Caenorhabditis elegans: one gene and its partners. The protein of the gene in region 2 purifies or fractionates together with the protein of the main gene of each other region. This does not show direct contact. Each region holds a gene or a part of one and is shown on either strand. Other genes may lie near its edges. The genes, in order: gfi-3, T04A8.18 and D1086.3.

Region 1 (12,129 bases), on a different chromosome or scaffold from region 2:
TCTACATCGAAGAACTTGGTAGTTGATAAGCATAACCTTGCTGAGAATCTAAAATCGATAGTTTCTCAAGTTGGAGGATCTGAATATACGAGCCACGTTTCCTTGAACAAAATGTTTGAGAACAAAATTGTGGAAATGTTTCATGCGACTATGTTCTCCATGGATCAAATCTACCAAATCGAAACACTGAAGACAAAACGGGAAGTATTAACCGAAGGTATGTATTTTCTAATTTTCAGCAATTTGAAACATTAAATTAGATATCGAAAAGTGGACCATATTGGAATTTGTTGCGCATGTGTCAATGCTTATTGAAGTCTTTACATCTGAGGAAAACTTTCTTCATGTCATGCAAAATCAAACCTTCGTTGAAGCCTTGGAAAACTTTTTTGTTGTCATTAAAAGAAAGAGTGCTGAAATTGTACAACGCAAGCAGAAATACAAATCTCAACTATCGAGAAAACGCCCGGTAATCTTGAATTTGTTTTGTACACAGTGATTTTCGGATTTTCTTTTCAGTTTAACAAGGGCTTCAAACATCGTTCAAAAGAGTTTGGCACGACATATAATTCGAGATGCAATGGGAATGGTGTTATCTCCAGAAAGTTTTGAATTTTTTAAAAGCTGTTTTAAGCTTTGTCTTCGCATATCTTGTAAACATTTGTATTTTTAAATACATTTTCGTATTTAAGAGACAGTTTTTTTGGATGTTTGACAAACCATGTTGCCTTCAGTTTTAGAAATGTTCAATGTAACCATACAAAATCATGTGGGATCATTTTCTTGCTTCAGGTAAAACTTTAAAACGTTCCGAACGCTATTTGGAGTTGCAAATGGTCTATGTCCAAATAAATTTGTGGAAATTGCGAAATACTTCATAACAGAACCAGAGGTTGCGCAATTGCACGAAAAATGTCTGCCGCCTGACTCTCCTTCGGTATATAAACAGCCTACAATCACCTACCCGTGTCTCGGTCCGGCGTCAGTGGGTTATCGTATTTCTCTCCCTTCGGGGAATTTCCCATCGGCATCAACTTGACCGTTGCGTTTTGAAATTTTTGAAAAGACATACAGTGTACTACTGATTAATATAATTTTTTCAGCATTTTGATTGTATAATTTTTTTTATTCTCTGAAACGTTCCAAATACTACTTAGTGTTGCAGAGAGTTTATGGAAATTCATCAATTTTTGAAAATTGCAAAACACAGTTTAACAGAGCTATCTGCCATTGCACGAAAAATGTCTGTCGCCTCACTCTCCCTTGGTATATAAACAGCCTACAATCACCGAAGTATGTATCGGTCCGGCGTCAGTGGGTTATCAAGTTTGCCTCCCTTCGGGGAATTTCCCATCGGCATCAACTTGACAGTTACATTTTGAAAATTTGTATTGAGACAAAAAAGTTGGGCTGACACATTTTTGAACAACAATTGTGAAATGAATAGGAGTACTTCCGTATTATAATTTTACAATTTCTGAAGCGTTGGAAGTACTACGTACTGCAAGTTGCAGAACGCTTATCTAATATTATAGATTTTTGAAAATTGCGAAACACAGTTTAACAGAACTATCTGCCATTGCACGAAAAATGTCTGCCGCCTCACTCTCCCTTGGTATATAAACAGCCTACAATCACCGAAGTATGTATCGGTCCGGCGTCAGTGGGTTATCAAGTTTGCCTCCCTTCGGGAATTTCTCATCGGCACCAACTTGACCGTTGCTTTTGAAATTTTTCTGTAAAACACAATAGTGAATTACAAATAAATCGGACTCTACTCCAGCAGTTTGGTTTTATGGTTTAAAAAACCTGAAACGGAACAAAATGCTACTTGAAGTGATATATACTTTAGGTACAACTTCAAACTTTAACAAGTAATCACCGACTCGTTTGTTGGTGCAGCGTCTGTCAGTTATCATTCTTGACCGTTAATTTTAACATTTCCGGAAAAAATTATGGGATACATTAAAATAACATGATTTTTGTTCACTAGTTTTAAAATTGGAGATATATATTTAAAAATGCGAAATACATTATTTATAAACTAACAGTTCTTACTATAAAATAAAAAGACTCTATGCATCTTTTTCAGAACATTATTTGTTTACGATTACCCATGTATATTACTTTGGTGTTTTTGGGCTATTATTTTTATTATTTGTGCTCATCATTTATTTGTGCTCAGCATATCGGCATTAACTTGACCGTTATTTTTTCAAATTTCGCATTCAGATAAATATCAACCACATTCAGAGTATTGAACAATAACAATATTAATATTTTTACATAACATCACATTTTCTTTTACTGCTTGAAAATCCAAACGGCAGTTCATCTGAAAACAAAACAGTTTAGCCATTCGCATATTATTTTTGTCATAAATAAATTCAATTAGTTATTTAACTCAACTTTAAAAAAAGAAAATTAATTCTCCCTATCTCATATTGCGAAACACATCTCAAACGCCAAACACGCATAAATGTCCGCTGCATTAATTCCTCATAGTATGTAAGCTCCCCGCACTCTGAGCAGTTGTTCAAAAATATTATATATCGGTCCGGCGCCAATAGGTTATCATTCCTATTCCCACTTCAGGGAACTTCCCATTGGCACCAACTTGACTGATATTTTTGAAAACTTTGGAGCAAAATTGAGTTTAAAGAAACCAAAATAAAGTTTTTTAAAGTTAAGATTTGAAGCATACATTATAATAATAGGATATATTTGAAAATTATAATAATAAGAAGTTCAGAAAGACGTAAACGTTGTTTTCAAAAGTACCCATTTTCTGTTTCTAATTTTAAAAAAAGTGAAACAGAATCCATATTAAGCATAAATTTTGCCGCAGATTTACAAAATTGGGTTGTTTCTCATATCGACGATATGATTAATATTGCTGGGTTAAGAAAGTTAAGTTTAAAGGTTTAAATTATCAGGCGAGATGTTTGAACAGAATATCCGAATTCTACAAAAGGATAAGCCCAATGCGGGGCTCGAACCCGCGACAACCAGATTAAGAGTCTGGTGCTCTACCGACTGAGCTAACCGGGCCGCGAAATTTGAAGATGATTGAAAAAAATAAATAGTGAAAAATGATATCGTTATCAAGAAAACGTAGCATGTGGCGTTTGACCTTCATCATTTGCAGACGCAGGTTTGCTGGTGTAATATCAATGGGAAAATGAAATAGTTTTCACCGATTAAAATTTTAACTGTAATAATAATTATTATTGGCTGATTTCATTAAAACATAGTTCAGAAATAAAAATTCATTTGTCTTTTTAAGATCAGCAACTTTATGATTCATATGATCGAGCGCAACTTGTTATAGACCTATGTATTCATTAATAGTTCCTCCTCTAGGTGCCAATGCTTATTAGGGGTCAAAACGTTGTGACAGTTGTTCAAACAGGAAACAGATCGGATAAAAGTTAGCCAGTGAGGGCCCACAGAACATTCAACTTTCAACTCTCACTACCATGAACACCTTCTTCGTTTTAACAATTGTTTTCTTTGTTTCAAGCGCTGAAATGTGCTCCGACTCGGCTTCAAAGTAAGTTACAGATTATTTATTCAGTTTGAAATTTGAAATTTCATTTTTTTTTCTTCCAGCTGCGCGAACTGGGTTGCCAATGGGTTTTGCACCTCTACATTCTACACTACCGCTCAGAAAACCCAATACTGCGCATCAACCTGCTCTTTGTGCTCTGATTCTTCAGATTCTAGCTCTTCATCGTCCACTGCTTCTACAAGTTCTTCTTCGTCCACAGCTGCAACGTCCAGTGATGATTCTTCTTCATCTTCTTCATCATCTTCCAGCTCCGCGTCTTCAACATCTTCTTCAGACACAACAACAGCTGACAGTTCTTCTACTACATCCTCTGATTCTTCAACAACCTCTTCCAATTCTTCATCATCCACTTCATCCTCAGATTCCACATCTGTCGTATCTTCTACATCTTCCTCAACCACTACCACATGTGTAGATTCTTTTTCCACGTAAGACTTGATTATTTGCCACTTGCAAAATAAAAACCTTCTAGATGTACTTCCTGGGCTGCTAATGGATTTTGCACTTCTTCCTTCTACACTACTGCTATCAAAACTCAGTACTGTGCAGCTACCTGCTCTCTGTGCTCTTCTTCCAGTGACTCTTCTTCGTCGAGCTCTACCGCTTCTACATCATCTAGTTGCACAGATTCAGCTTCATCGTAAGATCAATCAATTCTACTGACTAGCCTAAAACAAGTTGAACTTTCAGATGCTCATCTTGGGCGGCCAACGGCTTCTGCACTAACAGCTTCTACACAGATGCTCAACGTGAACTCTACTGTGCTAAAACTTGCGGATTATGCTAATTTCATCGTTCCTCTTTTATTGTAGTTTGTCTCTAGTAAACTGAATGCATATCAAAACCATGTCTTCATAATATCTGTTGTGTGTTGTTTGAGAACGGGCCATACCGATGAGAGAGTGCACAAAATAAGAGAGTTTTCTCTGCTACATGGTGTGTCCTCCCGCCCGCCCCTCCTCCACGAGAAACACGCCAGCAAACCAATAATGCGCCTGCAGCCACCGACCTGCACCGATCCCTCTTCATTTTTTTGAATTTTAGTCGTCTATTTTCTAGTATTACCTTTAAAAAACAAGGTTTTTATATATTTTTTTTCCAGAAATGCAGAAAGCGGCGCCGCGGCCCATCATCAAACGGAGTTATCTCAACTTGGATGCAATTTTCGGCCATGTCTTCTCAAATTTGACAGGAGAGCCAGTGACTCCAACAAAAGTAAGTTTTTTAGTTTAGAAAACCTTCAAAGTACTAAAAATTTACTTAAGATTGCAACGTTCTACCTTCTTCGCATTCTTTTTCAAACACACTTTGGATTCCGTCACAAACGTGCTTACTACAAACCATTTAGCCCCGCCGAAAAAGAACGGTAAGTAGTTTGGAAAAATTTTAAAAAAAGAAACCAAATTCATGTTTTAGAATCTTCCATTGGCTGTATGCATTGATGACGTCAGTCGTGGAGCTTTCTTATAAGGACTTCAGAATTGTCACTCGACTTGCATTTGATGACGGCCGTGAAGTTTGTAAAAACTTTTATGCAGCGTAAGTCAAACGATTTTCATTTTATACAATTAAAAAAACATTATAATTTATTGTAAACTATTATAAAAACTAGTCAAACAATTCGACAATAAATTAAATGCAATAATGTTTCTTAGCTCGATTTTCTGGAGCATTATAAGCATAATCAATAATACAAAACAATCCGCTGGCATCTCTCCATTCTTTCAGTATGGAGAAAATTGGCGCCGGAATGGCGGATGTTACTCTTAACGTTGAAGATGAGTTCTACACCAACAAGCACCCAAAGGATCCGAAATTGCCAGCAAATGACACTGTACATGAAGCTATGGACTTGGCGCGCGGAGACATTATCCAGTTTTCTTCCAATCACTCGTTTATGTACAGATGGATGAAACGAGTATGATTTTTCAATCGAAAAAATTTGTTTCAGTTTGATTATATTTCAGCTCCTGGCACAATACACCAAGTCAACTCCTTCAGAAGTGTTCCAGATAAATGCAGCCATGAAATCATGGGTTTTGTCTGCTGTTGAATCAAAGTAAGTGACGAAGCTTTGCTAAAAATACCGAAACTTTTGCAGATATCATCCCGAGTTCAAGGGAGAGTATCTTCCACACTTCATCGACTGTTCTGTCAGAGCAAGGGATTGGGTTGCTAAGAGCATTTACTTCATTCAGGTGAGATACTATTTGAAACTAAAACTCCCATGCGGTCGCCGAGCCAGCCTCACGTCGTCACCCTCGCCGCATGTACAGTGAAGCGCAGACCTCCGAACGTGTCGGCCGCTTCCAGCCCACCACCTTTTCACACTACGTTGCGCACACACCATGCTACTCATTTCACGCTGAGCTGCGGAACCCCGAACGTGTCGGCCGCTTTGAATGACTACCTCTCGAACTTCATTTCACACACACAGCGGCGCGCGGCGACGGCGTGAGGCCCGGATTTTGCGCCTCACTCAGCTGGGAGCTCTGTTTGAAACTGACAAAAGAAAAGTAATAATGTTTCCATGTTTTTACAGAAGAACCCACGTTTTGCCTTCCAATATAACGAGATGCTTCACTACACCCGGATCGTACAGAAGCGACACCCGGACGTTGTTGAAGGGTTCCTGCTAGAGGCCATTGTGCAAGTTCAATTGAAAGATAGCTCGTCGGCTATTAAGGCAATGAAATCGTTTTTCGAGTTGTCCATGTTTGAGTAAGTGTTATACCGTTATACCGCCACCGAGGTTTAAGAACAAAAAAAATAATTTTCAGACTAAATGAGAACATGGTGCATGCCGCAAAAACGCATCGATTGGCAGTTCCAACTCAAACCCCGTTGATGTATGCACCGATTCTTCAAGCCAGAATTTGCAGAATATTTGGAGACTAGTAAGATATATCAATAAAGAGTACATAAATATTCTCATTTTCCAGCCAAATGGCTCGTCTCCTGCTCCACGAGAGTCTCCAACAAGCCCAGCTCCGAAATGATGAGATTTGCCATCAAATGGCCAACATCGAAATGCACACTGTCGACATATTGGGATGCAGGGCGCTGCTTGAGGATAACAATGAAAGTGAGCTCGTCTATTATTTTTTGAATCAATAAGAACTAAGACAACAACAAATCAAATTTGCAGAAACCGCTAAGCACATTGAAAATGAACGGCGAGTTCAGAGAAAAGCCTTGCTGCACATAGACGAGTAAGTTGGATTATCTACTAGTATAGAGTCATAAAACTAATTAGTACATTTCAGTCTTCACGGACATACGCGATCCGGGCCTTGCTGTCTAAGTTCTGAAGAAGATTTTGAGCTTGTCGCAGAGATGGACTCATATGGAAAAATGCTCATGTTGATGAAGATCATTGCAGAAGGAAACTATAAGCTGTGAGCATTCAATCAGAGACGTCGCTTTAACTTTCCAAATTTACAGGATCTACGACAGAGTTGCGGAAACCGGAATAACGTGTCCAGTCGGTAATGATCTTGGAGAACGAGGACGAAAAGTGGCTGCTTATGGAGCTGCTCTGATATCTAGTAACATGTAAGTAGCTCGTTGCAAATGGCCTAGAAACCATTCTGAATTTCAGGATTCATAATGGAATGTATCATCAAGCAAAGTGCGCCGCAGAAAACATGCTGGCAAACAATTGCAGAACCGATGAAACAGACCCCTTCCAGGCTCCTTTTCAGGCCGAACCTTGGGTAAGTACAAGTTAGAACTGTGACAAATAATAAATTGGTGCAAAATTTATATGTATCTAATGAAATTCAAGTATGATGTATCAATTTTCAGGCAATTGGTGCGGTAAACCTATCTTATTCACAAGCTGGAGTCGGAAACTACGACGCGGCACTAAGAACTATTGAGGAAATGCGACAAAATTATCCGGAAGAACTTTCTTGGCAGTCCAACCGTCACGTTGTCATTTGTGCAGCTGTCATCAACTTTGAAAGATTCTTATTGAAAAATGACTACAAGGCTTGTGCTTCTGAAGTTTTGAATCTCGCAGCACACTCTGAACTAGAATGCAAGCTTCGGTGAGTTGCAATTGAAAGTATTACCTCATTTAATTTCTATAATTTTTTTAGACAAGCTCTTCTCCTCGCCGCAGCCGGAAAAGAACGGGCAAGTGTTGAAGTGTTGGAGGGATTGAACGTTGTGGACATTCGTGGAAGAATTCGAATTCACATGCAAACAGGATGCATTTACACGGCTAGTCAAGAATTTAGAAAAGCTGCAAGAGAATTTGCAGACGCCTTGAGTCTTGCTGAGAACACCACACTGAAGGACATTGTGCCAATGGTCAAGAGAAGACAAGCAACTATGCTGGTAAGCATTTTATGTAAAGAAAAAATTGCATGAATTTTTTTACGCCATCTTGATATTTCACTGAAGAATCTACAAAGTGGAGCACTGTCGTTAGGGTTTTGAATCCGTAAATTTTGCGCTGCACTCCGAAAATTATTTTTTATTCAGCCTTAAAAATTGTTTGAAGTGAGATGTTTGAAAACATAAGGTATTGTATTTTTTATAGATGTCACCAGATATGTCAGACTATACTCGCTTACTAGTTAGATAAAATAAACGTTTTCTGAGAACATCGCATTTATCAAATGAAAAACAATTTTTAGAATCTAAATTTACAGATGTGCCATGGTCAGTATGTCGAATGTCTGAAACTTTTGAAAGAATGCAATGAAGGCATTGAACAGTTTGGATCATTTACCGAGAAGGCGTGCTACTACATGACAGCGGCCAGATGTCATCGATTGCTAGGGAAAGATCCGCGGATGTGGTTGAAAAAATCCCGTGCCCTGGTCCGCAACGGGCAATGGCCGGCGTTTACCAAGCTCGTCCTCTCCGAAATTGCTGCTCTTCATGACGTCAAAGGACTGATGCCTGATGAAAATCGTCTGTCGCAGATTTGTGAGCAATTTGGTAAACTGACTGCTGATTGTCCCGGCCGATGCGAATGGCTCCTCATCTGATGATGTTTCAAACCAATATTCTTGTACACACTTTTAAAGTGCTTCATTATCCAATCCCAAAGACCCCCGTCTGTTCTTACATTCAACGATCTTGTTTCAAAACTCAAACAGGTTTATGAGCTTCACAGTGTATTTTTACGAGTCTTTCTTGCTCTATTTGATTTTGAATTTATGAACTTTTTGTAAAAAAATTGCTTTTGAAAAATTGGAAAAAAAATTGAAAAGGAATGTTTTATTGCAATTTTTTTGATTTTATTTTATTGCAGATACCATTTGTGCAGTTTGAATGCTTCTTACCAAATGTCAGAAAACATATTTCTGGTAGCTAAAATACATTTACAACTGTAGCAAAAACGTGTTGTGCAAGTTTTTTAATAGCAATGAGATGTCTATTTTTTTTTAAATTAAATTGAATCATTATCGAAAGTGATTAATTATAGGAAATTACGAAGAATAGAAAGGATTACTTTGTTATTGGATGTTTTACATGTTCTCATGTAAATTTATTGCTAGCCAAACTTATTTGTTGTTTTAAAGCGTGACCTCATTGAATCAAACGTTTTTTTAAAGATTAGTAAAAAAATTAAAAATTAACCGGCTACTGAAAACCCCACCCCCGCAAAATTCCTATTTTGGGTGAAAATTCCGTATTTGCAGTGAAACAATGCCAACTGAAAGCATCACTCCAGTTACTCATGACAACTCAAATAGGATATGTGTACATAATGATTAATTTTGCTAACTTTCCATATCCGTTATAACAAATGCAAACATCGTTTTTGAAAATGGATACTGTTAGGATCAAACACCTGATGATCCCACCGATTTGGCACTTTAATGGATCAACTAACTTTTTGGAAAAGCTGAACAAACGTAAAACAGTTTTATAAAAGGCATTCTATCAGAACGCATTGTCAGAACACATTCAGTTTTTGAATTAAATCAAAAATGTCATCTACTTCTTTGTGCGTCTTGGCTGTTCTTATCATCTTCTCTACCGTAGAAATGTGCATGGATGTTAACCCAAAGTAAGTAAAAATTCAGCATTTGCAATTTTTTATCACTGCTGGAATTGATAATTTTCCAGCTGCGCTAACTGGGTATCCAACGGATTCTGCACCTCATCATTTTACTCTGATGCTCAAAAAACCGAATACTGCCCTGCGTCCTGTAGGCTTTGTTCGGGTGCTAGTAGCACAACTTCCTCTTCGGCTTCTTCGTCTTCTTCAACCTGCGGGGATAGCAACAGTAATTGTGCAAGCTGGGCTTCAAATGGGTTCTGCAACTCCACTTTCTACACTCCTGCTCAAAAAAGCCAATACTGCGGAGCCACTTGCAACCTTTGTGGTGGCGCTTCTGTGGAAACTTCTTCTGGAGTTGCAGCATCAACCACAGCAGCAACTGCTACCACTTCCGCCTAAATTGAATTATTTTTTGTGATTATTGAATGTAGGTAGCAAGCAATAAAGCATTCATTACTTTTAATACGTTCAATTTGTGGAACAGCAACACATTTAGAATGTTTTTTAATTTATTATTTCGAATTTTAATTCAAAAATAGTTAATATTGACATTACTTTAATTTAAAATTGTTTCATTTCAGAACACGGTCTGAAATTAGCTCATCGCTACTCAAACTCCACATGAAGAAAAAACGTATAAAGGAAAACCAAGACAAAATGTTCAAATTGTTAGTCCAGATATTTGAAACGCACATCAGAGTTTGGCAAAAAGGATAAGCCCAATGCGGGGCTCGAACCCGCGACAACCAGATTAAGAGTCTGGTGCTCTACCGACTGAGCTATTTTTACTTTTAGTTTATGCTTAGTTCATAAAACGCCTTTTTAGGATTGCTTTTTGTACTTTTTTTTAACTTAAGAGTTTGTTGTTAGGTGTTGTTAATAACAGAAATGCTGCCTTAAAATTCAAACCACCTAAATTTGAATTATAGGTATTGCTATCCCTCGATGGTTTTTGGTCCATTCCTACAAAGAACCTTCTTAAGAATCTGAGACTAAGCTCATATTGCGCCATTTCGCTCATTTTACCATGCACAAGTAGACAAAAATACTCTTCTTCCTCTTGGCTAATTACGCAACGAGACCTGTGCAAATAAACGTGGCCACCGACGACGCAACACTCCGTGAACAGGTGCACTTCTCACCTCCTTCCATCTGTTCCGCTCTTATTATTACGCCATCTACAGAGGTGGGGGAAAATGTCGGCGGAGAGAGAAAGGTGCGTTCCCACCTGCTGTGCGATGTCTAGCGCACGCCTCATTTGTTCTGGATGCGTAAGAAGAAGAACGGAAGAAGATGAGGATAAAGAGAAGAGGATAATTAGATGTGCTAATTACTTTGTTTAGTTTCAGCTCTATAGAATTTGAAAACAGGATGTGGGAAGAAATTAAATCTGAAATATTTTTTGTTAAGTAGTTGTGCACCAAAATGTTCCCAATTAAGCAATTTTTTCAGCACAAAAGTAGTTATTCGAATACTTTTAGGACCTTAGGCAATAATAAGTTCTTCCTAAGCCAAATAATACCAAAAAACTTCATTATCTGAACATACTTTGATTTTCAGCTATAAAGAAGTATACTAGTTGCCAAATAGTCTAAAAAGCGGTGATGTCTCTTCAATTCAATTCAACATATTTTGTCTTTTTTTTTGTACTGTGAAACTGAGATAAAAGAGCACTTTGCTTATTCTCAGACATTTTAAAGCATGACTACACCAAATTAGTTATTTTATTAATTTGAGATGTGATTTTAGTTTATTTCTTTAGTTTATGCTCCAGTTGTGTCTCCTGAACCTGAAAATGTCTTGGCAGTAATTTCCTAATCCCATGAAAAATTAATTCGTGAATAATTTTTCAAATATTTTTTTTCTGAAAATTCCAATATCAAAATTCAAAATATACACATTTTTGTCAAAGTCACAAATCTTTCGCACCATTATTTAGTAGCAATTAATTAGCAATCAGTTAACAATCACATTTTCCCAAATAACATATTGCATGTCATTAGCATCGCCCAAATTGCTATCTCTTTCAAAAATCTGCACTTATTCGCTAACTTGATGGATTAACATTCTTCATCCCATTTGCAAGGCCATCTGTTCTAAAAACACAATTAGGAGGATGAATTAGGTATAAAAATACATACCATGTGTATATTCAAATGGGTTATCAAACAGAGAGGAGGAGTAGATTTGACAGAAACCAATACATTTTTCAAATTTCGGTTTCAAATAAATTTATGAAGATTTTTTGGAATTTGCTGGATTAGGAAAATACTCCCTTCTAGGTTCAATGGAAAGGGCATGGTCTTTAATAAAAATCAAGAAATAAATCTAATTTAATGTAGTTCAAAAATTCCCCGACTTTTTTTCAATCTCATTCACATTTTAGAGTTTTCAAAAGCAATTTGGCATCATGCCAAAAAAAGTGTCTTCCTAGTTTGCGATTCGGTCACACCCACATTAAAAATTGGCGATAAAAAAATTGGCAGCGCGCCAAGAAGTTAGTTGTTTATGAACAAAAGTCTCTTGGGAAACC
Region 2 (11,387 bases):
TTTCAAGTCAGCCGATTGGATGGCATTTGGAGACGATGATATTCTTTCAATCCCATTCAAGTGAGTTTTATGCACACTTTTATCTTCAATTTAATGTTTTTCTTCCAGGTATTTCGTTATCTGTATCGGAGGTCTACCATCTTCAGCACTTTTAATATGTGTTATATTATCTCTTCTACTGCACTTTGATCAGGCAACATCTACACATTGTGAAGTTGCCAACTGGTTACCATCCATATCAGCTGCAGTCTCAACGTATACACCTGAAAAGTATATTTGGAGAATTCTAATCGGATTGCATATTGGACCCCGATTGGTAGTTGCAATTGCATTCAGAAACTTTTTATTGGGATCTCCTCTACGACCTCTTACTGGACATAAAAGGCTTCGGTTTTTGTGCAATTTGGCTTGCTTTCTCAATCTTCTAGAGAATTTCTTCCTTCTGGCATTAACATCGATTTCATCAAGTGAAGATCACTGTAAGAACTAAAATGTATGAAATAGTTAACTATTTTTAAATTCAGCTCTTCATGCTAAATGCTTCGGTGGATTTGCTATTTGTTCGATTATATACATGCTTTTGAGCACATGGCTTTTCAATGAAACTGGAAGGAGAACTGCAACAAATTTGGTAAGTTTGCTCACATAATCTTGAAAATTAAAGAGATTAGTAAATAAAAAAGTAAATATTATCTAGACACGAGTAGTTTCGCCATAAATACAGTACTCGACACGCCTTTTTTTCTGTAAAATACAAACAAAAGATGGATCGATGAAAATTCTACAGCAAAAAGGTTTGAAGCTACAGTAATCTTCATAGGCGCACATCAGTTTGTATTAAAGACAAAAATGTCGTGTCCGGTCACCGTAGTTTTGGCAAAATCTGGCGTCTTGAATAACAATTTACGAAAAAAACCTTTATCCCCCAAGTCTAACTATTTTCATAAATTTTTATTTATTCTCCAAAACTTGTTATCTGTGAGAAATTAATTTAGAAAATTAATACTGAAATTGCAGGGTCAACGTTCGCACGAATATAAAATCCTGGGAGCTGCTATTTTCGTTCTATGCTTTTTCCTTGGAGCATATCTTTATTGGAGGCATAACACGTACTGCGAGCCAGGAATTTACACGCTCTTCGCACTTGTCGAGTACTCTGCCGTTTTATCAAACATTTTCTTCCATTGTACTCTATATTATGACTTCCATGGCAAAAATATTGTGTTAACCTCATCGTTTGGAGGCGGACACTACAACCTTCTGCCAACTCAAATCGATAAGGATACGTAACAATTGATGGGTCCTGATGTGATGACAGTTTTATTGCATGATATAATAATATATATTTATTTATTCCAATATTTATTGTTTCGAAAAGCTTCTAATTTTTCGGTTTGCTTCGGGTTTTAAAAATATGTTTCACTTGCATTTTCTCATATAAATGGTTTTCAAAAATATTTGTTTTCACACTGAAATTTAGAAGCAAATAGCCTTACCGTGGCATTCTAGTCTTCACGCGACACCCTAGTTTACAATATGCAAAAATTGCTCCCTCCTTCGTCATATGAATCACTTCTACATTTGAATCAATTTCTCGAAAATTGTAACGGAATCGAATCGTTTGCCAAGTTTACCAGAAAGTGGCCACTATAAGATGAACGATAAGAAAACTGAGAACCTGGGAAAGACCAAGTCAGGAAAGCAAATTATGAAACCTGGATACGATAAGAAAGAAGGTCTTGGTATGGTAAGTATAACTCTCGGCACACGGGCGCCTTTATCATCAAATAATGGAAGAACCGAAATGCGTCCTTCTAACACGGCCATGTGTCAATTTACGCGGCTCGTGTATTCCTCGAGGAAAAGCTGCACATGACTGTATTTGAACTTCACACACTTTCAAGTTGATTTTTTTAATATAAGTTTTTGTATACATATTTAGTCTGGAAACGTTTGTCTCGGTGACCATGTCGTTTTTTAATACATGGCCGTGGCCGCGAAACAGAAAACTCGGCCACCTTCATGAAATGGTTATGAAGCATTTTCTGGAAAATCGGTTTTGCAACACTACCTAATAATATAACTTTCAACACACGTTCATAGAAGAAAATTCGAGTATCCTCATTCGCCAGCTTGAAAAATGTGTCGTTATGAAAGAGCAAACTCGGCCACCGATTTTCGCGGCCACGCTGCAAATGCCCCCGCTACCACAGGAATGTTAAAAATTTTCAGGATCAAAAGGAAATTGTTGGAGATGACAAGAAAGACAAGGAGGCTCGAAAAAGGGAGAGAAAGTTACAAGATGAGTTTGCTGAATTGAAGAAGGACGAAGAAAAGGACAAAGAAGAGGCGGAAAAAGAAAAGAATGAAAAGGAAAAGAAAGAGGAAGAGAAGAAAGAAGACGGACATGAAAAGAAAGAAGACAAGAAAGAGGATAAGAAAGAGAATGAGAATGATGAGAAAAAGGAAAAAAGTAAGGATGACAAGAAAGAAGAAAGCAAAGAGGATAAAAAGGAAAAGACAAAAACCGAGGATAATGAGGGAAAGAATGAGGAGAAGAAAAAAGAAAAGAAAGAAGAAAAGAAAGATGAAAAGGAGAAAAAGGAGAAGACAGAGGATGATAAAGAGAAAGAAAAGGAGAAGACGAAAGAAGAGAAAGTCAAAGAAGATCCGAAGAAGGATGATAAAAGTGGTGTGGATACTATCAAGAAAGAAGGATCAACTGCGCCAGCATCAACTGCTTTGGTCCCACCTCCTCCACGTCAGAATATTCGTAAGTGGTCCTGTTACAAAGAACTATGAGAATAAGATTTTTTTTCAGCGCCTCCAACACCACGTCGTCCGCCTCCAAAAAAGAAGAACGCGTGTTGCGTCGTGCTTTGATGGCAACTCGTATAATAGTACTGTCCGGGGTCTAATGAAGAGTTTTAATTTGTAAAAATTATTTTGACAATGCCCAGTGTTCTGCAATATATGATTTTTTTTCTCAATTAATGGGAGTGTTGTTAAAAATTCCAAGGATTCAATTATATAATCGACTACATTCTACTTTGAATAAAAACAATACTCGGAAGTTTGCGTCTATGTAAGCAAACGTGTTTTGAAAAGTTTCCATGGAGATTGGAGGCACATAATTTTTAGAATCATTCATATAAACTTGCTTCTTTCGACATTTTCCAATTATTCCACAATCCTGAATCAGGAACCAATTGCACTATTTAGTTAACTGCTTTAAACGTTTAAAATTATCCAACAAAAAATCGTTTTAATAAGTTGTTCCAAAAACATTTTACATGATCACATCACTAGATTTTCCTCCGATCTATACATCCATAGATAAAGTCAGTCAAGACATCACTGGTTTATCAATAAAAAAATATGCAAATGACTCCCTAATCACCAAACATTTGAAGGATATATCTACATTTCAAGAGACATCGTTTCCAGTTTCCGTACTTCTCAGAATTCGTTTCCCATGGCACTTTGCCATTCTTTTCCTCTTCTCCTTCTCTCCACATTCCAAATCGATGTTCTTCTTCTTCTTCTCGTGTGTGAGTGCTCCGTTGAGCTTCAACTCCGCCCACATATTTCTCGTTTGCTCTAGTAGTCTAGTACGTCTTCACATTTCTCTGTTTTTGCCCATTTTCTCTTCTTTTCCAGAGAAAAAAGCCTCCACGCTCAACACATCCAGAATTTTTGTTCGATTTTTAATGAAACTCGTGAGTTTTTGCAGAAAATCCGTGGAGCAATGTCGTTGAGCAAGCAGGAACATCCAGATGATCGTATTTCGGCTCTAGACTTTCTTGGAGGACATCTCAAAATTGGAGTTACTAAACCAGTAAGTAGCTTATAGTTGGTTGAGGCAATGTGTGCTTTACTAATAGGAAAATAACCAGTTCTAACAAACTCCAAACTAGTTTTGAATTATTCCATCAGAGCTTCTGTGTAATCATGGAAATTTCGAGCTACCTATGCCTTGTAGGCTCATAGCTAGGTATTCTTGTGCCTGCTTGTAGGAAGCATTGTGATTATTCAAAAGCTCAAATCTTTACGACCAAATTGTTTTTCAGGAATTTTCGAAATAAATAAATGTTTAAACTTGGATTTTTAGAACATCACCCCCCCCCCCCCCATGGTGGCAAAATGACCAAATGTCATTGTAAAAATTAATTTCAAAAGGGTAAAATGAAAGTTGGCAAAAAGTTTAAATAACATTAAAAAGATTTCAGTTTTTAATTTTTTTTGGTATATTTTGAACAAATCTCAATTAGCGATAAATACTCTACTATTATGTGTGAAACTATAATTGACTTTATTTATTAAATGACACAAAGAAACATTCCAAAACATCACTTCAAAGTTTGAAAAACATAGAGACCACGTGATATGTAAAGCTTTATCAGAAAATAGGATAATTTTAAATTAATTAGTAACAATTCGAACACGGAATCAAAAAACACAAAAACTATGTTCCCATGGAAATCTTTTTCTGATGTCATTGTGTTCTGCTTTATTCATTTTTCATCCAAAGTATCAGTTTCAAATTTCAGCGTCCCCAAATACGTTTTGATTTGTCGAAACGTCATGTGGATTTTGGATTCAACATCAAGCAGTTCTTCACGACTCGAATCGGAAAACCAAAAGAGTTGAATAATGAGAAGTTGGCGGTGATTCAGGAAGTAATTGAAGAAGAACAGGTTGGTAAAATCTCACAGCTAGAGCTTCTAGGGGTACGCCTTCAAGCTAAGCGTAGGTCGCCTTTAAGGAAGGCAGGTGGGTAGGCACTCTTGTACCTACGTGGGAGGGTGTTTGCTCCCGTAATATATTTAACACCCTAAAACTGAAGAGGTGTCCGATTTGGATCTAGAATGATATGTTTCTCATTAAAACTTCCTCTCGTTCTTTATTGAAAAGCGAGAGGAAAAGGAGGGAGAAAAGAAGATGAAAAAAATGTACATTCGACTAAATTTATGGCTTGAGAAATGAGATTCATTTTGAAGTGGCAATGGGGATACGGTAGCTCGCCAAGGTCGTAAATTCCAGTGAAGTGGATTTTCTTGATTCTATTTATAAACTTTCCTAATTTTTTTTCATCTAAATAAATTTCAAATTTCAGTTTCCATGGCTCGATCTTCCAGTTGGACTTCGCGAGCAAATCATTCACAAAATGCCTTTAAAATCAAGAATCAGCCTGGCAGCCACATCTAAAGGAGAACGATATCTTGTACAGAATATGAAAGTGGAATGCAAACTTTTTGTCATGGATGATGTGAGCCGTCGTACTTCAAATCTTCTTCGTTATCCAGATCTTCATTGGAGAGTTTTCTCAAGACCTGGTGTAAGTTCTTCCATAGGTAAAACAATAGGAAAACATTATATATTTTCAGAAAAGATACTTTTTGAACTTCATCTGCGATTGGCAGCACGATATTGCAATTTGCTTCTGCGAGGAGCGTCGAACGCTTCTTGGAAGATCAGGCGCTACAAAAGTGTACTGGTTAACCCCGGGAGGAAAAATCAAGAAGACTGTAATTCCAAATATAAATGCATTTGATCTTGCCGTGCAAACCGCCAAAGACTTTTTCAAAATTATCACTGAGGACTGTAAGAAATCGTCTCTCGCTTTGCCCGGGTGGCCAGAAAAAGTTTTTGAGATTCCGGAGCTTCAGAAGAGCTTCATTATCGGTAAGTTGTTGAGTTTTTTTCTTACTCGGTTCTATATTAACACCGAAAACTAAAAAGAGGTTCGGTTGAGAAATGAAACCAAAGCCAAGATATAGGCGGAGCCTATTATCGACTTTTCTTGCATCCGACTTTTTCGACACATTTCTTTAAGTTTTCTTGATATGCCCATGCGTATTTGAATCAGTTTATATCAAACAAAATTCAATTATATCCAGTTTCGCGGTTTTTGCAATAGAATTACGATACCGGATCTCGAAACGACTGAAATTTTGCAGCTACCGTAACCATAAGTTTTATGAATTTCCCCTTTTCCATAGTTTCCCTCAACGTTTCGAAATGTTTGACACAAACGCTTGTAACTTTTTTGGAACTTTTTCAACACAAGAACTATTAAAAAATACTGGAGGAGTTGAGAATTGAGAACAACTTTCGGATACTGTAGCTGCAATGTTTCGATCGTTTCGAGACCAGGTACCGTACTGGTTCCTCAAAAAGTGTCAAATTTCGTTGGTTTTTTTTTCACAGAACAAGACTAGGATCACACAAACTTGAAACTGCTATATATAATGAAAACTAATTCAATCAACTTTATTTCTCTCTCAAAGTTTTAAAACAGTAATAATTTGGAAAATTACAGGATCCAGCTATGATGACGTTGAGTCAATCCATAAAACATATGATTTCTTCCAACCATATTCATTTGATGTCTATATGCATAAAACCGCTATAAAGTATCTTTGGCCGTTCTCATTGCTTACTGTAGCTCGTCACGGACTGATTGATTGGTTCAAGATGCGTGCAAACGATCGTTCTCTTTGTGATCAAATGCTTGATAAGGATCTTCGAATTCTCATTCTTCATGACTCTTTTGTTAGGTGAATTATAGATTTTTAATTTTTATAAATTTCTGAATTTCCAGCCAAGAAAGAATGCGTGACTATATTGACAAATGGGCACACGGTGGTGTTTCCGATAAGTTCTGTTGGTGGGCTATAAGTACTCATCTCGAATTGGAAGTAGAAGAAGTGATTGATCGACTAATTGTGGAGTTTGTTGAAGCTAAATATGGACCTAAATTGTTAGAATTTAGACATTCTAAAGGTTTTATATTTCTTATTTTCAGCTGTATTGCTGAAGAGAACCCGAAAAAGCCGCAACCAGTGCAAACTGTAAAAATGGTAAGATATGTAGTGTACAGCGCCTTGGATCCAACAAAGATTGCACATTTGTACATTCGGGATAAAATGGTACTCTTCGCGAATACTGGATGTGCTCCAAGAATTGACGAATATGGATTAATTACTTACAGAACTAGATCAGGAATTAACGAAACTCAATTCTAATTTTTTTTTGTATTTTTTGAATTTCTCTGATTTTCCGTGAAAACATATTATATTCCTAATTATCTCTTCATAAAATTGCATGGAAAAAATTGTTATAGTCTTCTTTTGTAGCCGCCACGTGCTCTTCCCGTCTTCTGTGGAAGTTGGTACGTGATTTTCAGCATTTCCAGTAATTTCACCAGTTTTCCTTTTCCAATCCTTCCAAGTGGGCCGTCAGCTTTCTCTAGACGAATCAACATTTCTTCCTGAAAATTTACAATAAACAAAGAGTTGTGGAAACTTTGGAATCTAACCAAGGATACAGGTTGGAGTGAGAGAATGTGCTCATGTAAAACTGTATTCTGATCACTTCGAAGCCATGTTAAAAATGCCAATTTCAATGCACTCAAGTCATGTTTGCCACTGGTACTGGAAGCTGACATATCATCATCATCTTCTTCATCGTCTCCAACGTCATCACCGCAAATTTTTCCAACTTCTCGCTCGTCATTTGATATATTCAATGTTTTATCACCATCATTATCTTCATCCAGATCATCGGAAACATTGGATACATTTTTGGAAGTTTCATCTGAAACTATTATATAATATTAATATCCTTCTAAAGCAACTAGATAAAATGTCTAGCAATTTTTCAATTTAATTGAAAATGAATAAACTCACCAGAAATAGCATTCTTGACTCCTTGCTTTTTAGGAGAAACTTTCTTCGGCGATGCAATCATTCTTTCACTTAATGTCTTCGTCTTGATTGTTTTCCTTCCACCCTTTCCTCCTTGTTCCGAAACCTTTTCTAAACTTGCAGATCTGACAAGCGGACGAATTGTAGGTGTTCCTGAGCAAATTTCTGGATGTAATGTGATATATGCTTTCTTCAGAATCTGAATCATCGCTTTCTTTCCTTTTGGCCGCATCCCGATCTCTTTCATTCGTTCTTTTAATTCTGCTTCTTCCATTGAATCGAATGCAGGCATTGGAGTTATATCATTGGTCTTCAGAATTTTGACATGGGATCCGAAGACAGCTTTTGAGGTAATGTTGCGGATTGGAGTAATGACATTGGATGTAGTTGGAAGATTTGTAGACGGTTGATTGCTCCATTCATCGAATGAATCCATTGTCACATTAGTAGTTGGTTTCTGTGGAGTAGAGTGTACTGATTCATGTGGTTTATCTTCCATGATTTGTTCTGCATCATCTTCCACATTTTCGACAGCTTTTCCGAATCCAAAGAAAGGATCATCAGATGTGAAGTAGTTCACAGATTTATCAAGTTCGATTGGGTCGCTATGAGACGCAGTTGGCTCTATTTCTACAGGATCAGCTACTACAGAATCTATCTTAGCTTCAGGCTCTACCACGTCCTCAACATCATCGACTTTCTCAAGATCTTCCTCCTTATCATTTTTCACAATCAAGTCTAATCCTACAGGTCCATACTTCGAAGCCAAATCCCTCACACCATCCTTATCATCATCATTCCATTCGATATTTGCAGTGAATACAAATGAAATCCATGCTTTCACAACTTCTTTTGTGTGCTCGACTTGAATATTTTCAGATTTAGGGTTCAGTCTGATAAGTGATGTCCGATGTTTCAAGATCATTGTCTGACATTTTACACGATGACCATCACTGCAGGTAATGAAAATGTGAGTTGGTAATTGTTCAGAATTGTCATCAAGAACTTTTTGCATGTCAGATGAGAGTTGTTCGTATCGGGAAATCTGAAAAAGTGATTTTTTTTAAATTATAATAAACTAGAAAATTACTTTTTCAATCATTTTCTTCATTTGAAACGCATGCTCAGTCACTCCTTCCTCTCGTTTCTTTTGATTTTTGATAGATTTACTGTGAAACTCGTCAATAAATCTTGAATGAAGTGTCGTAAGAACCTCACATTGACACTTTTTCGGTGCCAATTCCACAACTGCAAACGATCGAGGACGCTTCCGTTTTCGGTTTTCCTCATCATCCTCAGCGATTCGTGCAAATTTCACGTTGTTCTTCGATAGCTCCCATGATTTTGGAAGTTCCTGTGGTTTTTCGAAAGGTTTTTCAAATAGATGAGTCTTTGAAGATGGCTTCTCATAAACTTGATCATCTCTGAAATATGTTTTTGCATCACAGAATATCCTTCTACTGAAACTAACTTTTCTATGGTTTCGGTGAGTGTTTTCGATTTTCTTGTAGTTTCCTTCTCCTTCTCTGATTGTTTCGCTTTGCAAACTTTTACATGAATATCTCTAAAATTTGAACAGTGAGAAGAAACACAAATAATATTTCAAACCTTCTGGAATTCATCCAAAGAGTCATATCTCGTGCACACGTCGCACATTTTACAGGTTTCTTAGCCGGTGCTTCTTCATCATCGTCGCTCAGTGTGATCTCTTCGAAAGGAGAAGGAACATCTCAAAAAGTAAATTAATTGATTTAATTGGGAAATTTGATTTGAAACTTACTTTTGTCAGATTCATTTCTTACAATACTCTGCACACTTCCAAGTTTTTGAGGACGCCTAGAAAAAAAGACAGATATTTTTTAATTTACGTTTAGGTTAAATAGATACGACAGAAACAAAAACCTTACTACCTTGGCGCGGATGAGATCGAGTTTTGGGACAGTGCCTTTTTTAGTGATGAATCATTCATATGAGTAGAATCTAGAATACTTTTTTTTCTTCTAAAACTGAATTTGCAATTCTTATTCCAATATCAATTGTGATCAACGCATTCTACGTTTTTTCGTGATGATTTAGCAGTGATTCTGATTACGAAATTTATTGAGTAAACAACAAAAATGGTACTTGAATACAGAAAGAGCTCATGAACAGTATGACTGCTTGAATAAATATTTTGATAGATATATAAAAATGTTTGAAAAGTAAAAATCGAGGATGAACGGATTACCGAAATCAAAACAAATTATGTGGGATTAAGACAGATGGATGTTGTATTCTATAAATTAAAATTAGATCATCGTTGATAGACTGGAACAAAGGAAACAGGATTGAATGTGTCTGATAAGGTGTGGGTAATAAAGAGAATAAGATCAGGGTTTTCAGTGATAGCCGACGAATTGAGGAGGATAGTATGGAGCTGCTGGAGGAGCACCAACTCGATACTGTGGAGCCGGGATCGCAGATCGCCTTAACTCGATGGGAGGCTCGTGGAAATGGCGTTTGAACCAAGCCATCATTCGATCTAGCGTATCAAAGTTTTGATGTCGGAATCGGACTCCATGTGGGACAACTGTAAACAAAAATAGTTGAAAACTTTGTTCGTATCTCTTTTCGAAACTCACTTTTGAAATATTCATGTCGAATCCGTTCTGTATTATCGAACATATAAGAAATACAGAATTGGCATGGCTGTCTGTAGGATGCACTGAATACGTACGGAGATCGTCCCAGCTCTCGTTTCTTCTCTCGTACAAATTGCTCGACTGCTTCTGTTTCTTCGCATGTTCCATTTGGGAAGAAGTACTTGTGAGTTGTTATCTCGTGAGAGATCTGTATCATCGGTTGAACGAATCGAGCAATCAACTCATCAAGATCCTCGAAATCTTCTCCGCCGACTGAGAGTTGCCGACCAATGGAGAAAACTTGATCCTTTGCGGATTCTTTGACAAAGAAATTGTGATAGACGCGGTCACAAATCTTCCATGTCACAGAAAGACCAGAATCTTTATTAGCCGATGGACGAATAATACACTCAGACCAATCCATTTCATCCAACATTTTCGTAGCAGCTTCGTAGGATACATTATGGAAATTTGGATGCGCAATTACTCGCTTCACACGTGTATTTGCTTCTGTCTTCTTTTTCGATTCACTCTTCATCAGTTCCAAATCAGCTTGGTATTGATGCTCATCCCAGTACTGATCACGTTGAGATAAATCATCTTCTTTCAGATCCGAACTCTTACAACTTAGGAATAGTGAGAATCTCTCCTTGTCCAACTTGAGAACTTTGAAGTAATATGGCTGATTTATCTTGACTCGGGTTAATGGATTGTCTACGTGACTTGATGAGATGTTCTTGTTCGGACAGAATCCAGTCATTCCATTGTCAAATCTGACTCGAATTCCGACTGGTGTTCCAGGACATCCACCTTGACGAGACTGAAATAATTTAACATTGGTTAACGAATAGTATTAGTTGAGAAAAACTTACGTCACCGAGCATATGTTCTTGAATTCCACCAGGAGCCGAAGATGTGAACGATTTACAACATGGACAAGTGAAAAGACCATCTTCTCCAACATCAGGTAACATGCTGTCTGCTGCATCTTTGTCAACTTTACGGTACTGCACAGATTGAACTGTTCCCAACACTTTAGCTCCTTCCTGCAAAAATA
Region 3 (9,481 bases), on a different chromosome or scaffold from region 2:
GCTTAAACATCAAAGTCACGCAAGTTGCTATATCATTTTGAAGAGAAATCTCACAGCTTTTCAAGATTTCATTATTCATTTTTGAAAAAGCTCTGCTCTCTAGCGGACAGTTCAATCTATTCGACTCACATTTTTACAGCTCTGTGCAGCTCGTTCTTCATCTGGATCACATACTCGATTCCCAGGGTCTACACCTTCGGCTTCTTCAAGAAATCCATATGACAAGGAGACAAGAAAGAGTATCAATGTTAGAACCCGAAGCATCTGAAATCTGAATATTTCTACGATTTGCTCAGTGAGCTCCACGTAGACTCGTATCAATTGGATATCAAAGCAAGAGAAAAATTGGAGAGATTGAATGAAAAAACCACCGAAGAGAAACACAAATATTTTCTTCTTCTTGATTCATTCTTCCACTCACTGATCTCATTTCTGTCTCATCTTTTTTCTATTTTCCTGCGTCTCTTCGCCTGCTCCAGTTTATCTGTTTTCTGTTCTAATGACCGCGTTAAAAATTTTATTGGTACCTGGAGAGAAACCCTTTGAAGAAATGAAGAATGTAGGAGGGAGGAATGGGTACTCAACCGGAATTTTAAAGACTTTTAAATTAATTATTGCAGTTTTGCAGGGTTACTGTAACAAGGAACAAGAAATCGAAGAACATTTAATGAAGTTAGTTCCATTTTGCTCCAATTGCCTTCTCGCATTCGTTCTCTTTGAACGAGTCTTGAGCAAACTGAAAAATAGAAATTTAGAAAAGTTGGTGGAAATGAAAATGAAAGTTTGAGGCTCTCTAAGCCTAAGCCTAAGCATCTAAGTTTAAGGCCTGCGCCGAAGCCTAAACCGATTTCTAAGACATCATCCGCTTACCTTCTGCCATCCCTGCAACTTATCATCCCCGCACTCTTTCTTAATATGAGCCTTGATACAATCTTTCGAGCCCTTCAAAAATGTGCAAGTGTCCTTTGTCGACTTCTTTGTCTCTGATTTAAAATCTTCCAAACACTTTGCAGCATCCTTATCACTTTTCTTCAATGCCTGCAATTTCTTGCTGCAATCCTTGAACTCGTCCTGGAAAAGAGCACGACCACAGAAGTCGAGAGTCTCCTTGTGATCTTCTTCGAGTGGTTTACATTTCAGCTCTTTAATGCATTCCTGAAACACATTTGAGAAGTTTTTAATATCACTGATGTTACCCACCATGGTGTCTTTGCACGAAGCCTTGACTTTTGAGAGATCCTTGTCTTTGCTCTTTACGAGAGCTTTGAGCTCCTTATCTACTTCATCGCTTCTCTAAAAGTGTTTTTTTTATTAAAATGACGGAAATAGTTCGAAATGCAGCAAGTACAACAAAAAAGGACTACTGTGATAAATCTCCATGTTTGAAATTCCACCAAAATAAGAACTGCATGAGCAATCATGACAATTGAAGCCTGCTTGAACAATTTTATAAAACCCACCTTAACACATTTAGTAGTCTTCAATGAAGTGATAACTCCACAGGATTTCAAATATCTGGCCACTTTTGATTCAGTATCCTTATCAGAACTGGCAGCCAACGCGGAACAAACTAAGAAAACTGATAAAATGATAATAGATTTCATGTTGTTTTCTCGTCGGTTTTTCTTTATCAGACACGTTGCTTTTATATACCAAGTTTAGAGGTCAATTGATATGAATTCAAATGAAAAAAAAACATATGAAAAAGGGTTGGGATCGGGATATTGTAGGTGTGTTTGTGATAAGGATGACGTTCCGAGACCAATTAATTCTACTTTCTGTTCGATTTGTAAACAACGAAATTCTCGTTATCTCGGATTCTGGAAATCTAACATTTACCCTGACCTCGAAAGGACAGGGTTCTCCAAAAATTGTTCACTGGGTCTTTTGCAAGGCCCTGAGAGCGTTTATAAATAGCGGCAATACCACTGACGAGAGGACAGTTATATGCCCGAGTGTCCGGACATCTCGAGGGTTCCGCTCGTCACTATGCTTTACGTGCAAACATGGCACTCGAGTCCCCTAGCCGCAATAAATAAATTTTTTTTTTTATTAACTTGAATATTTGATACAAACATAAACAAAATAAAATGGAACATGAGATCTTATTTTACAGATAATACTGGGGGGATATAAAAACTACTATTATTAAACCACGAATTATTGAGCGCGTTTTTTTGGAATGCGGAATGACCACCAGGCAGGTTTTTCGTGAGGAGTCGGAAAAATCTGAAATATTAACATTTTCATAAAGCTTTATTGATTTAATTTCCGTTGTATAAGGATATTAAAATTTGCAAAAAAAGTTGAAAAAATTCCACATACTTTCTGCTTCTTGCTTCCAGTGATTTCCTGTGACTGTTCAGTGTCCCTGTGTTTTGTTGGCGGTCTTCCACACATTCTACGTGCCGGATTATCTGGAACAAAAACAATTTATCTGAAAATCGGAAAACTAAACTCGATGAAGATTCGGCAGAAAAAAATTCGGAACTACAGTAATCTTTAAAGGCGCACACCCGTTAAACCTGTGCTTAAAACAAGTTTGTCGTGTCTAGACTAAATACCGTATTATTGTAGCCAAAATTGCAAAATTTCGCGAAATTAAATCGTGTCTTTCATTAATGTTGATGTGAGTTTACTTACCACACTGTGAAGTTGGACGATCACTGTTGACAATCACAGAATTTAAAAACTCTAAATCATCGTCGGTGCTTAAATCTTCGTATACTCCTGGTGCTGAAATTTGTAATATATTGGAAAATTGACTTCTCTTGGATTTCCGTACCAAATGCAACTGATTTTTTTGGTTTAGAAGCCACGCTGATTCCTGATCCACTTTTTTTGAGAATTCCAGAATTATTCGACGATTTCTCAATTTGGCAGTTCTTACTCGCATTTTTTTGAGTTTTCTTATTTCCCTTATTGCGTCTATCAGCTTCGTCATTGGAGTCGACAGATTTTTCTCTTTCTTTGGGCTTTGAGGAATACTTGGAGTTAGCTTTCCGGAGCTTTGCCTGGAAAATAATCAGTAAAATTCCATGTTTTTAAAAATTACTAACATAGAAAGGTTCCCTCTTTTTCAAATATTCTCGAAGATTCGAAAAAGCTTCATTCACTACTTCGTCTTGTTCTTTTTGTGGAAGACTCTTGAAACGTGCACCTACTGATCTCTCTGCATTGTCTCGAATTCCTGAAATTAACTATTTAGTTTTTTATTGGAAAACATTGATGTAAAAGCTTTCCTGCAGAAAAATACATAAAATATATTAAAACGAACTGTATCTCGGCAAAAAATATGGGCCATCGGCAATTTTTTTCGATGTATTTCTGTTCTGTGAACGACCGGCGATGCGACCAACTGTTTTTCGTTGTTCATCTGAAAAAAAATCCCAAAAAATGTTCATTTGTAATGTTTAACAATGAATTGGTGTTTATAGAGTTGTTTTCCTCAAAAATAAACATTTATTAAAGTTTTTTTAAATTGTTATTCCGCTTTTAGCATTGAAGCTACTGACGAATTCAAATTTAGCAAGATATAATAGATTAAAAAAATAAATTACCTGTTAATATTATAATATTGTCGTTATTAGAACGAATTCTGGACATTTTCAGCAAAAAAAACCAGATGATAAGTATGCTTTTTCGGGAGAAAAACAGTTTGCTTTATTAAGGTACGATCTTAAAGGCGCATATCGCAAAACGAGAAGATGGTATCGCAACGACTTGCTTTGTTTTGTAGAAACTTATCAGGCCTGGATTGGATTTAGGAAGTAGTTTTCGAATATTAAGACAGAAAGACTGTTTTTTAGACTTTCATTGTTTTAAACTTGCGGAAAGTTTTGAATTCTACACAAAATGAACTAATTTTGCAACAAAAATGGTGTCTTTTGGAAATGGTTCATTAATTACCGCGAATTTGCTCATATTTGAGGATTTTGTAAGAGAATAATTTTGAAAAAAAAACCGTAATTACTGAATATAACAGACTTTTCAGCTGAAAAAAAATTAATATTTGTACAGTTTCCATGTAATAAATGTAGTTAATCCACCAAATCGAACAACTAGACAAATGGCACCTGATTGCTTGCTGAGCAGCTGCCGCTGAAAACGTTTGACGTCACATCCACAATCTTAGTTCTCTCTACTTTGCTTCTAGCTTGTCTGCTGCTCTTTTCATTTTGAGCTCCGAATGTTAATCCAGAACATATTCCTCTTACTTTTTCCAATTTCAACTGTTTTTTCAAGTAATGGAGTGAACTATTTCAAGTCAGAATGTTCATTTTTTCCCGGACGTAGTAATATAAAGTATTGCAGGTTATTTGTAAGTTTTGATGGGTGTCTTTGGCTTTTTTAAATGCTGAATAATTTTAAGGAAGGTGCTAAATATTATTGGAGGCATAATTCAATTGCGTGGAATCCGGAACAGACCAAAAATATGAGTCTTGTTGAACTCAGAAAGCATTGTGATGATTATTTTGTAAGATTTGTTTGTAATACATATGGAAATACAGGCATGTAAAAGTATTCGCTAGATCTTGAGATCTCAGCTCACGATAAAATTTTCAAATAAGTGGGGTTTTGGATATTTTTTTGAATTTAAAAAACAATATTTTTCTAGCTCAGTGTGCTCCATTTCCGCTAAATAAAATTTATTTCGGTACTTCTGTATTATTTCCCCTCATTTTAATATTATCCATTTTAATAAAACGTGATGTCCATTTTCATTCTTTAGGCTTAGAAAGGGTTATTTCCTAAGCCTAAAAATACAAAAACACCACACGTTTTTATTTAAAAGTTTATTTTAAAAACTGAGGGGAAATAATACACAAGTACCTTTATTTCCAGATTTCCACTCAAAACACTTCCAAACAACCAAATTTCATAATAAGAGCTCTTAATAATCGTTCTAAAATGTTTTCAAGTGGTTCAAAATTTCAAATTTTAAAAAGTTAAATTTAGCTGAAATCTCATTTTGACATTTTCACAATGCCTTCAGGTTTGCATGGAAAATACGGGATGCTACATGGATTTTGTCAATTATCAGGAACTGGACAAGTGCATTGATGACGTATTTCATCTAGGACCAATGTATTATTGTGAGAAAACATTGAAGGAAGTTATTGAGAAAACCCCGGATCAAGTTTCTGAATGTGTTAAGGATTATCTCAAAAATGTACTCTTTAGCATTTTGCATTGATTCTGTAAGTTTAATTTCAGAAAAATCCGGACAAAGTCGACTGCGTGAGCATCCAGACAAAAAGTAAATGCTTTCTCGAAGATGTTGGGAAGCATTGTGGTTCTGATTTTTTGAGTCTGTACAAGCAGGTGAAAATTTGATTTTATTAATTTCTGCAGATCTCTTTAACTTATAATGCTACAGCACATAAATATTCGTCTCTACAATCGTGCTTGCGATGGACGTCTTCGATATAAAGATCGGGTTCGTGGAGATGATAATAGCATGCAAAGAGGGATAATTACAAAAGAAGATGTTGAAAGGGATTTCGGAAGTAATTCAACACAAATTTCGGCTTAATTTCAGTTCATTTTTTTCCGAATGGTTTTTTGGCACGTTTTAATAAAACAATTTGAAAAAATTTCGTGCTACATAGAATTCCATTAAACTTCAAGATGCTAGATTATTGAAAAAATATTTATGTATACCTAATTATATGTAGTTCCACGTTGTTGTTTTTTACAAAACTATTTGGAGTTATTAGATTTATTAAAGAAATGACACAGGCATTAAGAAAGAAACTATAGGATCACAGAAGCAAGAAATTTACTCTTTCTTGTCGGCTTTCTTTGTAACCTTGGAACTTGGCGCACTCTGTTCCTCATCGCGGGACAGTGTTGAGCTTTGACTATCACGTATCACGAAACTTCTCGATCTTTTTCTAGCAATCCTATTGTTCCGACAGTCGCGTAAGTGCCTTGTCAGTCGCTGAATAAAATAGTTCTGAAGAATTTCGCATCGAAAGTCGCGTTCTTTCATGTCGAGAAGCTTCCGGCGCTTTGAAACTGCCAGATTGAGCATTATTCTTGGGTGAACTTTCATCGAGGAATTCATTGGCATAGCCTCATCTTCCGATGATGATGAAGAGGATGAAGAGGAGAGTTCAAGACCGTAATCCATATTTCAGATCTGTGATAGATATAGTTAGAAACATGGTTCATAGTGAAAAAGATTTGAATATTAATTACAGTTGATATTTACAAATATAACAAAAGTTTAACTTCCGAAAACAGTTTTCAGGTTTTTTTTGAACCCAACTGATAGGTTCGTTAATAATCTACGAAATAACATGAAGGTTCTTGAGAAAGTTGATAGTCACTTTATTTTCAATAAATCGCATATTTTACGGTATGTTTTGAAAAACTATAGCTTTGCTTTTGCAGATTTACTGCAATTAAACAAAAACAAAAATGAGTTACTTACAAAAAAAACGGTAGCAGAAAGACCAATGACAAAAAAAAAGGCAAATCTGTAAGAATGAGACCGACGCTGTTAATAAATGCATAGACTGTAGATGAGCACATAGTTTTACAACCTCATGTCATTTTCATTGTCACAGTGGACACCACAATATAGCGGCGAAATTCCAACTTGTTACAGTGACATTTCCCAAGTGCCTGAGAATTACTTTATTTCTGGTAGATCGGAGAATATCGATTAGATTTGTGTAAGCGTTTGGAGGTTCTTGCCAATTTGGAGTTTCATCTTATCTCTAATAGTAAATCGATTTTTAAAAAAGGGATATTTGAACATTCAATCAGCAAACCTATCAACAGCTTACTGGCTCCAAAACCTTCTTCGATGTTTTGAAGCAATTTCTCTAAATTTTCAAACTTTTTCAGAAACGTCCAAAATTTCTAGCCATTGCTAGAAATTTTTCAGCAATCTCTTAAACGTTTGATAAGTCCCCATTGAATTTTCAGCAATTTATACAAGTTTTAAAAACGATTCTATTGATTCCTAGAAATTTTTCGAAGCGTTCAAGAGCTTCAAGAATTTTTCAGAATTATTTAAAAAATTCAAAGTATTTTTCAGAACCTATCGTTACAGTTTATAAGTTTATTCAGCTTCAAAACTAGTCATGTCGTATATTTACAGTTATCCTACAGTAATACGTTACTATTACATTTAAAACAAACTTAGTTTTTAGTTTTTCTACAGGAATCATACAGTTTTCCTACAAAAATTGAATTATACTACTACAGTAATCTTTCGGTAATCCTACAGTAAGTAACCTTGATTTTACCACTACCGTATCACTACAGAAAGAAAAGCCGAGAAATGATAAGATAACTTTATTACATAAGAATAAATCAGATTAACAAAGAAATCTCTTGAGTTGATCGTCTAGTTGCTGAAAGCTTTTTCAATCAATTAAATATCTTAAAAACAAAAACTCACATCATGAAATTCCTTGGAGTAATTTTTGGAACAAACTGATTCTGTCTTTTTCTGAACACATTTCCCATTTGATTTTAATGTCTCACACCGTTGCTTTTTGTCAGGAATCTGGAATAAAAGCTTTGTTTTCTTTCGAATTTTTTGAGTCAAAAATTGAAAGTAAAACAAGTAACGTTTTTTCTTTAATTTGAATGAAGATATTTAGAGAAATATATAATTTCCTCTAATGGTTTTTGGTTTCAAAATTGTTTAAAAAATTATTTAGCGAACCCACATTTATATACACCGGTGTCATGAAGAAGCTGTAGACACAATTGTCTTCAATACTTGTAGTCATTTTTTGGTAGCATCCATCGAATTTTTTAGCTTTAAAGCTGTACATATCACATACACCATCGAGATTGGTAATTAGATTGGGATCAATTCCAGAACACAATTGGAGTGTCTTGTAGCATTTCTGAAAATTCAATTGTTAAAAGTAGAGTAGCGTATACATAATGACCAAATATAACTGGAACATTTAGAACAAATATTAAAAATTTATTTTGCAGTTTTTGCTTCAATATATTGAATTTCTCAGCAAAAGTTTTAGCAGAAAAAAAATTTAAGAATTTTCAGGCACCAGTTTTGATTTGACAAACAGAAAAACTCACTAATGAGAAATCACAGAAATCAGTGATATCCTTGATTAAATTTGAGGATTTTCGGGTTCCAGCTAGCACCGATTTCAGATTATCAAGCATTGGAGAAAGTCTATTTGTACAGTCCCTCGCTTCGTTTCTTATTTCAGAACTAAAGCAGTTATCCGGGATTAATAAAGCAAAATTTGGAAGGCTTATTAAAACTATTGATTTGAAAGCACGAATCAACATGTCTGAAAAAATTCTTTATTTTTTGAAATAAAAACAGTCAATAAAAATCAAAACCTTCTGTGGCAAACGTGATGAGGGGTTGCGCAAAGGTAAAACTGGATCAATATTTGTTTAAAGGCTCAGGCGAACATGAACTCTTTTCGATTTCTACACACATTCTTGTAACTTATTTTGAGAATTCAAAGAGAAAATATTTACTGAACATGGCTGTTTTACTTTCCGAATGGCAAAAGTATTGATCGGAAATCGAATTTAATAACCGACTGAAAATTCAAATTCCCAACAAAAAATTGGTGTTCAGATCTTCTAGAAACCAATCGTTGCGAGACCCACCGCTGTTTGGACCTGCCGAGACGAGACCTTGTTGTGAGACTTGTCACTGTAAAAAAAACGAATAAATGTTCGAAATATTTAAATCAATGTTTTTATTTTGAACCAATGGGGATCGTGTGGTTGTCTACGATTCATTTGCGCACGAATTTAAAATTCAGTCCCTTCTGCTCAATTTGAGTTGGTTTTTCTCCCGCTTTACCGAATTTTTCAGTTTCTACAATGTTATGAATGTTAGTTTTGCAGTCCAAACTTCAGCTTCAGTAAATTCGCCACATCCACTCTTTTTTAAAGTATTTTTACTTAAAGTTTATGTTTATGGGTTCGTTTTTCCACACACCGAATGATTGGTATATTGCACTAAAAGTCTTAAATATGCGTTTTATTAATCATTAGTTTGGTTCAAAACTTCTTTTTTGATAGAACGCAATGAGTAAATTACAACAAGACAGACTGAGTGTGTCCAATATTCTAAAATAAGCCTTATGGGTACTGATCACAGTGATGAATCTTTCTTCGGTTATCGATGTACTGAAAACAAATAAAACATTCTTGTAGAATATTTAGTTTATTGTTACCCCTCTCAAATCATCTGATTGCTGCTGTCCACAAAGTGTTGCTAAATCTTCCAACCCCAACGGAATAGTTTTAGCATTGAGATTGATACATAAAATCATATCAATTGGCTGAAGGTAAGTTAGCTTTTGAATTTCCATTCAGTTCATAGACTGATAAAACTCTCACCATGTCCCATTCGACTGGATTAATTAGATTAATCATCAGAATTGCGTCCTTTTGTTGTAATATTGTCTTGCACTCTTCGGTCACAACTGACGGAGGTGGGGTAGCACTGAAATCAACT

What was found.
Region 1: the proteins of T04A8.18 (region 2) and gfi-3 fractionate together in Caenorhabditis elegans (co-fractionation; one large-scale study listed by BioGRID). This does not show direct contact.
Region 3: the proteins of T04A8.18 (region 2) and D1086.3 fractionate together in Caenorhabditis elegans (co-fractionation; one large-scale study listed by BioGRID). This does not show direct contact.

What each region holds. Positions count from the first base shown.
Region 1 is NC_003284.9:14,475,899-14,488,027, forward strand, and holds gfi-3 (Protein gfi-3), read left to right. Parts: upstream 1-4,673; 5' UTR 4,674-4,675; coding exon 4,676-4,786; intron 4,787-4,836; coding exon 4,837-4,937; intron 4,938-4,987; coding exon 4,988-5,110; intron 5,111-5,299; coding exon 5,300-5,489; intron 5,490-5,538; coding exon 5,539-5,630; intron 5,631-5,672; coding exon 5,673-5,769; intron 5,770-6,113; coding exon 6,114-6,292; intron 6,293-6,351; coding exon 6,352-6,468; intron 6,469-6,513; coding exon 6,514-6,656; intron 6,657-6,719; coding exon 6,720-6,783; intron 6,784-6,837; coding exon 6,838-6,969; intron 6,970-7,015; coding exon 7,016-7,126; intron 7,127-7,172; coding exon 7,173-7,287; intron 7,288-7,378; coding exon 7,379-7,623; intron 7,624-7,674; coding exon 7,675-7,915; intron 7,916-8,232; coding exon 8,233-8,574; 3' UTR 8,575-8,804; downstream 8,805-12,129. Other genes in the region: M163.5 (DUF4806 domain-containing protein), read left to right, coding at 1-217, 261-469, 520-612; M163.11 (ShKT domain-containing protein), read left to right, coding at 3,480-3,553, 3,613-3,999, 4,044-4,211, 4,262-4,358; M163.8 (ShKT domain-containing protein), read left to right, coding at 9,523-9,602, 9,662-9,995. UniProt on the Caenorhabditis elegans protein: Probable component of the anaphase promoting complex/cyclosome (APC/C), a cell cycle-regulated E3 ubiquitin ligase that controls progression through mitosis and the G1 phase of the cell cycle.
Region 2 is NC_003281.10:4,705,500-4,716,886, forward strand, and holds T04A8.18 (F-box domain-containing protein), read left to right. Parts: upstream 1-3,709; 5' UTR 3,710-3,748; coding exon 3,749-3,838; intron 3,839-4,550; coding exon 4,551-4,697; intron 4,698-5,116; coding exon 5,117-5,338; intron 5,339-5,387; coding exon 5,388-5,685; intron 5,686-6,322; coding exon 6,323-6,560; intron 6,561-6,604; coding exon 6,605-6,763; intron 6,764-6,808; coding exon 6,809-7,028; 3' UTR 7,029-7,120; downstream 7,121-11,387. Other genes in the region: pgap-2 (Post-GPI attachment to proteins factor 2), read left to right, coding at 20-60, 109-479, 525-631, 1,018-1,290; T04A8.13 (G-patch domain-containing protein), read left to right, coding at 1,655-1,747, 2,233-2,773, 2,822-2,883; him-18 (SAP domain-containing protein), read right to left, coding at 7,121-7,273, 7,322-7,599, 7,692-8,754, 8,800-9,133, 9,181-9,273, 9,318-9,438, 9,490-9,545, 9,620-9,678; emb-5 (Suppressor of Ty 6 homolog), read right to left, coding at 10,088-10,278, 10,331-11,150, 11,203-11,376.
Region 3 is NC_003283.11:14,085,006-14,094,486, reverse strand, and holds D1086.3 (T20D4.11-like domain-containing protein), read right to left. Parts: upstream 1,696-9,481; 5' UTR 1,605-1,695; coding exon 1,461-1,604; intron 1,294-1,460; coding exon 1,201-1,293; intron 1,156-1,200; coding exon 871-1,155; intron 737-870; coding exon 674-736; 3' UTR 501-673; downstream 1-500. Other genes in the region: D1086.8 (T20D4.11-like domain-containing protein), read right to left, coding at 130-264; him-5 (High Incidence of Males (increased X chromosome loss)), read right to left, coding at 2,161-2,229, 2,326-2,417, 2,644-2,736, 2,786-3,014, 3,060-3,190, 3,278-3,376, 3,561-3,606; D1086.5 (T20D4.11-like domain-containing protein), read left to right, coding at 4,190-4,321, 4,373-4,477, 4,997-5,173, 5,218-5,325, 5,381-5,536; D1086.19 (uncharacterized protein), read right to left, coding at 5,783-6,136; D1086.18 (T20D4.11-like domain-containing protein), read right to left, coding at 7,335-7,370, 7,418-7,525, 7,692-7,874, 8,071-8,289; D1086.7 (CW domain-containing protein), read right to left, coding at 9,103-9,150, 9,198-9,305, 9,364-9,481.